2 linked regions of the Oryzias latipes genome follow. The protein of the gene in region 2 interacts with the protein of the main gene of each other region in a biochemical or structural test. Links are inferred from orthologs where the notes say so. Each region holds a gene or a part of one and is shown on either strand. Other genes may lie near its edges.

Region 1 (4,524 bases), on a different chromosome or scaffold from region 2:
GGCCTTCCTTTATATGGAGATAGATGTTTTTTACGAGAGATGAAGTGGGATAAAAGAATATTAACGTTTTTGAGTTTGAGGTTGTTTAATGAAGAGCCTAAGTATTAATAATAATTATAGAAAATCATAAAATAGAAAATATATACATATGACTGAAGACATATACCCAAATACTACAATGGGTAACTGAGTAAACAAATGAACGGAAGATAGAAGCTCAGGAAAGATCTGACTCCTTTTCTTTTCCTTTTTTGCCTATTGTTTACTGTTAACATGCAGATAAGTGCATGCCAAGTTTGCATGTGGGATGTTGTTACATCATTGGGTTTGTCAAGTGGTTTAAAGATTTTGTTTTGTTTAGTTTCTCCATTTTGCTTCTAAAGTTAATTTAAAAAAAAAAAAAAGAAAAAAAAAGATTGTCTTATTGGAAGTTTGCATTTTTCCTCGTATTTTTCAATGTACAAACGATATGTATCCTTTATAAAACATGTCAGAATTTTTCTGGATTCTTCTTTATTTTCCCCTGTTTAAATGGGAAATAAAACACCATACACCATACAACCATACAATCTTTACGATTTTTGTAACACTCCTCGAGGTGCATCAAAAGCAAACTTAAATAAATAAATAAAAAAGGAAAAAGGAAAGGAAAACCTGTTTACTTTATTTTTTAAAGGTAAATAACAATTGATATATTTTATAAAATGTGTTTAAAATGGAGAAACAGCAGTAACTACAAAAGAAAAACTACATGATCACTAGTTTCCACATTATTCTTAAGAGCATAGAGGTTAGATTTTAATTCAAACTTGTTCCTGATTGGCCAGAAACATAGGAGCGGATCTCGTAAGTGGAAAATTTTTGTCAACAGGGCTTGGTCACTGCCACATCACTGACAAAGGCCGAGAACTGAGCCAGAAAACGACATTTTGAGCAAGTAAAAATCTTTTAAGGATCAAATTTGTCCATATGTGTCGAATTATAAGTGGAATAACTTTTATAAAATGAATACTACCTACTTCTTCGTGTCTCATGTTAAATCAAACTGATTGTACGAAGATCACAGTAATTTATAAACATTGAAATGAAAAGACATAAGATTTTACCTTCGTGATGTGTCAAATGTCAAACCTACAGACGATGTAGATACTTACAGACCAAGTTATGGATAAAAAGCCAAGTTGTTTTGTTGCTGTTGGTCCTCACGGATGTGATGTGGCTGAAGAAGAAGAAGAAGAAGAAAAGAACTTCCTACAACACCAATGCCGCACACTGCCCCCTGCTGGTTGCACCAAAGAACTCCCCAGTCTATGATGTTATTTTTTCCCTTACATTTAACCATATAAAAATATTTTATTCATTCCTCTATTTAACTTTGAAGTCGACAAGAAATCAAAAAACATTTTTAGTGCCAAAGTGACAGAGATTACTACCTTGATTCTTTTAGGAACAATCTGGGAACAATCGGTATGTTAAGTGTGGCAAAAACGTGACCTTACGTTATGAAACCCAGCCCGAGAGCTGTGATTGGTCAATTTACGACTCACGTCTAGCCACTGTCACGTCGCACGTTGCATTGTGGAAGTTGCTAGATCATCCAGCGTCAGGCAAGCTATCGCGGCTGAAAGGTGAGGTCTAATGCACTCTAGGAATATTCTCTTTGTGGAAAATGTAACCTAATAGTGTTTTAAAGGCGCGTGTTTAACGTTACGCTGTATTAGTTGACGCCTTAGCGTCTGCTAGACTAATAAGTTCAGCGGGATTCATCATCATGTCGTCGCACCGACCGTCGTTGAAACAAACAATAGACCGTCTTATTTGTCTCTAGAATTGTTTTTCTGCTAATTTTGCGTGGTGTTACGTGAAGTATAACTGCCAACGAGCTCCTGTGTGTGTGTTTTTAATCGAACAATTGAAGAGCTGTGTGTTTTGTATGTGTTGTCCCCCACCCTACTGATTACATAACTCTGTTCAGAGGAACGGTACCGAGTCGGTAAAGATAACATTAGCAATTGTAGCTAGGCATATATGACAGTAATTAAACACATCTCGATGCATTTCATTATAGGTGGTAGCTGCTTGCAAGTTTGAAGAAAATCTTAAATAGTGAGTGTTCGTTTGTGGCACACAATGTACACACAAAGACTTAACATGACAACTACTAGCTACAATTAAAATACCCACTCCGATGAAAATGAAAATTTAGCTTAGAATTGCATTTCTGAGTATTTCTTTATGCAAACTGATGTGAATTAGACGCAAAAAGCTGTTGCAAAAAAACGTGTAAGTGTGACGTAGAAGCTACTACACCAACCAAGCTCCCTCACTGCTCCATTCTGATGCTTCATTCTGACACATTTGGGCTTCATTTTCCTCGTCTGAGCTGCCATCTGGCTCAAAACTGTACGGTTGGATAGCTCCAATATTGTTCACAATTTTTGTTGCACCACTAATGTGCAGTGGAAGTTGTGATTGTGAGGGGCTGTAAGCGAGTGTGTAAAGGGATGGTGGTAAGGGGGGGCTAACTCCATGCCAGCAGTCCTGCCCACGACTCTGGGGGGTTAATTTCTAATTAACTCCTGCCGCTATGCAGAAACCTTCCTAGAAAACAACACGGGGAACGCTTTGAAAATATTTTAAAAGATGATCGGAGTGGGGCCTTCAAATTGTTACGTTTTTTAAATGAAATTATTAATTAAGGAACCTGATACCATTTGTTTGGTTTCAAGTTTCAAACATAAACATGGTTAAAGTAATTTTTTTGTGTTTGTTTTCTTTTTCCCCTAAACTCCACAGTTTTATTTGAGTGGGAAACTTGGAAAAAAGGGGTAAACCATGGCTTCAATGAATTATCCTGAATGCACACTGAAGAATTCCTTATACTGGGATGAAGCAGAGTGCCTTAACTACTATGGGATGATGTCTCTTCATGAGATGTTTGAAATAGTCGGAGCTCAGCTGACAGAGACCGACATTGAAGTGCTCTACTTTCTATTGAATGAAACCTACTCAGCCAAACACCCCCTAGATCCGGAAGGCTGGACAGTTAAACCCTCAGAGGACAGTCCAGAGGACCCGGGTGCCAGCCCAAGTCCACAGCTGTTAAAAGCGTGGAGGCGGTTGAAGCCGAAAGAATCGCAGCAGCCTTTAGTGGACTCAAAGCCCAAGAGTGGCCTTGAGCTGCTGCTGGAGCTGGAGAGGAGGGGACACCTCGGTGACGGGAACCTGGAACCTCTGCTGCAGCTGCTGAGAGTCCTCACCCGCCATGACCTGCTGCCTTTAGTGTCTCATAAAAGGAGGCGAACAGGTGTGGATTTCACTTTTACCACCTGTCTTATTAGTAGGTGTGATGTTCATTTCAGAATTACTCATTTTCTGTATTTCTTTTTAGCTTCTCCAGAAAGAATTGGAAGCAGATATGAATTAGACAGCGCAGAGTTGATCTCTGGGTTACATCACACTTGCCAGCAGACGGAGATGCCACTCCCATCTTTCACACAGCAATTAAACACAGGTAATTGCACAATTCTATAAATGGTAAACAATTTTTTGCACCTTTTTTTCTCTCCACTAAATATAAAAAAAGCACATTTTAATAACTAACTTGTTTTTGTTGCTCTTAAAATGTACATATTTTTTTTGCCTATTTAAAAACATTCTGCATTTAACAAAATTGATTAAAGGTTGTGCAGCAATGAAAGAAAAAAATACTATTGGAAACATGATTGTTTACTTGCAGGTCTTTTTAATTAATCCCTTTTTTTCTTCAGATATTCACTCTCCTGTGGCAGAGTCATCTACTAGGAGACGAAGGAGGAAGAGGGGGAATGGCTGGAGCCGTAAGTCCAAGAAAACAAGCCGACAGGTCCAGCCTCTGCCTCCGCCACCAGCACCACAAAAAGTGTCATGTGGTAAGGGCAACCTGCACACGTTAAAGTTGTTTCTGTTGTAATTGTCACCGGTTTAGTCCCTTTCTTTTTCATTTTTTTTCTCCCTATCAACTGATTTCTCACCTAACACAAAAGCTATTTGAGTCAGCCTCTTTAATATTTCACCAGTTCTCTGTAGTTTCTCTTGTGTCTTTAATACAAAACCTTTGTCCGTCTATGTCAAACCTCAGCATGTGTCATAATGTTTACAGTCTGAGTTCTATACACCTATGAGTGTTTCAACTATTTCAAACATTGTGTGAGAGCAGGGTTCATTTATTTATTACATGTTTGGAAAAAAGATACCCTTAACAGTGAGGAAAATGATTATAGTTTTGAATCAAACCATCACAATTATGGCAAAAAGCAGCAGACCATGCAAACACATTCACAAAGAGCACTCAAAGTTTGAATGGAAACAAATGATTTGCCCATGAGGTCATTTCTCTGTTCAGATGTCTTTGGTAAAACATTTTTACCTAAATAACAGCAGTTAATAACAGTCATGCTCTCATTACAATATTGTGCCCTTTGTATTTTTGGGTTGACCCTCCCCACATGATATTACAGCTGTTCTTTTGGGACTTTGCGGTTT
Region 2 (4,247 bases):
AGGATCGATATTGGAGAGGGAAAAGGCATGTTGGATGCTCTGGTTGCATGTTCTTTAGATAAGCGCTTGCACAATTGAGTTAAAAAGGCAACTGCCTTCAGTACTCATGGCTAGACCTTTATGGCTTTATGAACCTTTTTTTATTTTTTAACAAATAAACCTCTATTTGGATGTAAAAAGCCAGTAATTTTGTTTTTATTTGCTTTTTAACTTGAATTCTAACAATTTTCTAAAATTTTTGCATGTGTAGTTTTCTCTAAAATAACTTACCAAGACTAATTCCCATTTAATATAGATAACTTTTAAAAAAAAAGTGGCGTTTGAAGGAAGCCAACCTGAAGACAGCTGTTTTCGCGTTTCATGTTGTCTGGAACTACACATTTTTCTTTCATTTCCTTTTTTTACTGAACTGGAATTTTTAAGTTTGTTCAGTGAAACCACAAATTCAACCTTTTTAGAATAACCGTTACATGTCTACTGGGAAACAGACGCACCATTCCAATTCTTGCTTTTTGTGTAGAGAACTTTTTTTTAATGCTCATAAGTATTTGTGTCTCACCTTGATCAAAACCCACACAGTCTATGATCACACACAGTCCTCTCGGCTTGCTGTTCAAGCTGTATTGCTCAAGCTGACTCTGAAATGTGAACAAATATTTGACAAATTACCATTTTATGTGGTTTTAACATGTTGAAATGATCAAGAAAGGGTAATACTAGAGTGGAAATTTACCGTAGTGCTTGGTTGTCTGCATTCAGATGTTGGTGGGCTTTCTCTGACTGTTGTGAGAGAGTGACATGATAATTAAGGGCATACAAACCCAAATACCCTACATTTACTCTGGGGCTTTCCAACTGTAATGTTGTAACTGAAAAGCCCCACTAAAATACTGTAATTAGACACTGTCCATGTTTTGACTTTGACTATTTTGTTGTTCTAACAACATCTCTGTCATAAACACATTATTTAGCTGTCATGTGTCTCACCTATGTTTATGGCCTTTCCTTGCCTTCTTTCCTAAATAGGGCACAACAAAAGAAAATGTTTTATCAAAAGTATTCAATTATGAGAGTACAAATGTTGAAGAAATGTTGTGTTACTTACAGAGGTTTTACTACTTTGCTGATGAGGTGAATGATGGTCACATCTCTGAGCTGAAAATTGCATAAACAAACATTGGTAACAAAGAATTAAAGAAAATTGTTTCTTTTTTAGGTGAAATCAGTAATTATTGTTAGTTTATAACAAAAACAATCAAAAAAAACTTTGTATAAAAGTATTTGACTCATTGTTAATATATAAATATAGTCAATACTGATTAATTAGATGTTTTAAAAACAGAGCGCGGCTCATTTACCGGTTCTCATAGACCTACTACAATGAAAATTGTCCTCATGATGGAGGACATATTTAAAGAAAGTTGAGTTGCTGAGTATTTCTTTGTTCAAATCATTGTGAATCAGGAGCAGATGAAAAAATGCCGTTGGTAAAAGCTTGTAGCTCTGACGTAAAACCCACTACAGCAAGCCACAAGCTCCATACTCCCAGCAATTCGGATGCATCTACAAATAGATCCATGTACGTCTTTGTTTTCCATCCGAGCTGACGTTTGACTCAAAACTGTACGGCTGGATAGCTCCAATATTGCTTGCCATTTTTGCTGCACCGGTATTGTGAAGTTGGGGGTGTTGGGGGATGTGAGCTAGAGGGTGAGAGTGTAACACATGGATGATGGGTATGGAGGGTGGGCTTACTTCACACCAACGTCCCGCCCACACTCAGAGGTGAGTTTTCTAATAAATGCCTGTCGCTCTGCAGAAATTATGGATTTTTTTTGATTTTGCCTAAAAACTGCATAATACTAAATAAAGAGCACTTGGAAATGCTTATGAAATAAATTAAAAGATGTTCAGATTGGGTCTTTAAATACCCTCCCTCTTACACTTCCTCTTACTCTCCCACTTCCTAGTTTCCCATCAGTCATTCTCCCCATAGCCCAAACTTCCTATTTCAAACTAAGCACAAGTAATTTTTCTATAACAATGCATACCGTACCTGTCTTTTTATATGTGGATACTTTTTTGGCAAGGTCGATCCTGCAAATGTTCCTCAAGCACTCCTCAACCATGTCCACTCTCTCTGGGGAAACTAAATCAAGTTTCTCAAGTTCAACGATCACGTCCAAGAAACTCTGCAGTGGGAAAGTAATGGGGGAAAAACAACAGCTTTTTCAGAGTGAAAGTGCATAATGACAAAGGTTTTCCACACACGCACTCACACTTTCCATTCACGTCTATTGACCTAGTGGAAATCCGTCTTCTCTACCTTTGCATCCCTTTTCTCACGTGGCAATGTTGTGCTTAATAAGAACAATATCTGTTCTAAGTCTTCTGTGTCTAGATCTTCACTTATGTTGGCCATCAGTACTCTGCAAAAACAAACAAAAAAATAAAATAAAGAATTACCTAACAAACAAGCAGGCATGCATAAAACAAGACACTAAAGGTTTTACCTGAATTTTGAGAGAACTTGTCTGTTTTCCAGAGTCTGTTCTACTGCATTCCTGCTCAGAGTAAAGAGCTCCTTCAAAATGTCATATCTGCCCATGCGCCAAATGACCTCTGCTAGGAACTGGCTGGCATTGTCGTGGCAAGTAACTTGGAGTTTTAGAGTCTCCCTCACGGACTGTACACTACTGTCTGCGCTCGTGCTGTCACACAGGAAAAGCAACTTTCTGCATTCACTACTACTCAGCGCCTCAACTATTTTGTTGATGTAGTAAAGATGATTACGTTGATGATCCAAAGCAGCCATCGGTACGGAAGCAGCCTGGTGACGGAAAACAGAATAATAGAGTATTTAAAAAAATGTATCTAAACTGTAGACTGACTAATTTAACGGGGCTAGATCAAACCACGGTCGTTTATGATAATTCCTATCAGCTCAAAGTCCATAAACATCCAAACGCGATAACCGGAAGTCCCCTGGTTTAACGTAAAAATAAAAGTAGCCTTCAGCTGTAAAAACATTAAGTAGAAAAGAAACAGACGGAGTCTCATAGAGCCTACATATAAACGTAGGCTTGTTACGAGCTTTTAAGAAGTAACCCCCAGTCCGGAAAGTACCGTCGTGACGAAATTGAAACTGAAACTTAAAAAAAAGAAGAAGATTTTTTTAAAGCTATAGAAATAATGGTCTTTATTTTTTCATCTTCAAAACCAACACAATTATCTTATAAATATCTATATTATTTCAGAAAAATGTCACACGTATATGTCACAAATTAAGTTAATGTTAAAAGCAAATAAGACATATATTAGCATTTTTCTTACATAATTATTAAGAACAATCAAATAAGCAACATGGTTTTTGCTATGCAAGTGCATATTTGATGTACTTCATGGAGCAAAATCCTGTTATTTGTATTATTTTATTTGATCCATAGATTTTACATATATATATTATTTGGATATAGATTTGTCGGATGATTTTACATAAACCAAGTTCAATTTTATTTTTTATATTTGCCTTAATGATTTCTACCTTAGCACGAAGATGATTTTAGTCACACGATGTACCAAACCAACGACTGTGTGTTTTCCAATTGTTTTGAACGCATCAGCAACCATGTCCGCCAAGCCCAGCCAATCGCGTTGCGCCCTGGTTCGGCATCCTTGCAGTGTTGGGAGATGACTTAAACCTGTGCGGTTCACAGCAAACGGTAGGGCTGAAAGACACCTTCGAAAGCCGAGTGACCACCCAGGGAAAATAGTGACCCCGCTTAGTTCATGTACAGACGTTTCGGTTACTGTCCCACATGTATCCGTTGATAAAGTGAGTATCATTTTCGTGGCTGAGAGAAATTCATTTTGTGACTTTAAGGTTGGGACTGACTTGGAATATTATCAGTACAGGTTGTAACTTGTGTTGGTGTCTATGTGCAAAACTAGAGGGCTATCAATATCAGTGTCGCCAAGTGGAGCATACATTTAACCGGAGACCACCATGTCCCATTGATGTTGCCTGGCTTTTTAAAAGTGGGTTTGGCCTGGTCACGACTGTTAAAAAAAGAAAAAGAAAAAGACGAAGATGCCCGCCAGCTGCTTACAAGAAGAGGCATGTTAGCGGCTGCAAGCTCTGCTAACGTGGTGACGCTAAGCTCGGTGCACAGGTTAGAGCCGTCGTGGCAAATATGAAAAAACGTTAGCTAGCCTTAATCAACTGGCTAACAACAGCTTTCATTTCG

What was found.
Region 1: the proteins of cflar (region 2) and dedd2 form a complex in vitro, tested with the Homo sapiens proteins (2 studies listed by BioGRID). The link is inferred for Oryzias latipes from reciprocal best matches to the Homo sapiens genes CFLAR and DEDD2.

Annotation. Positions count from the first base shown.
Region 1 is NC_019874.2:20,936,884-20,941,407, forward strand, and holds the start of dedd2 (DNA-binding death effector domain-containing protein 2), read left to right. Parts: upstream 1-1,539; 5' UTR 1,540-1,628; exon of another isoform or gene 1,629-1,629; intron 1,630-2,083; exon of another isoform or gene 2,084-2,106; intron 2,107-2,792; exon of another isoform or gene 2,793-2,796; 5' UTR 2,797-2,835; coding exon 2,836-3,307; intron 3,308-3,391; coding exon 3,392-3,514; intron 3,515-3,770; coding exon 3,771-3,911; intron 3,912-4,524. UniProt on the Homo sapiens protein: May play a critical role in death receptor-induced apoptosis and may target CASP8 and CASP10 to the nucleus. May regulate degradation of intermediate filaments during apoptosis.
Region 2 is NC_019879.2:19,821,447-19,825,693, forward strand, and holds the start of cflar (CASP8 and FADD-like apoptosis regulator), read right to left. Parts: upstream 3,078-4,247; 5' UTR 2,816-3,077; coding exon 2,514-2,815; intron 2,430-2,513; coding exon 2,327-2,429; intron 2,193-2,326; coding exon 2,057-2,192; intron 1,156-2,056; coding exon 1,106-1,155; intron 1,019-1,105; coding exon 988-1,018; intron 781-987; coding exon 734-780; intron 639-733; coding exon 560-638; intron 1-559. UniProt on the Homo sapiens protein: Apoptosis regulator protein which may function as a crucial link between cell survival and cell death pathways in mammalian cells. Acts as an inhibitor of TNFRSF6 mediated apoptosis.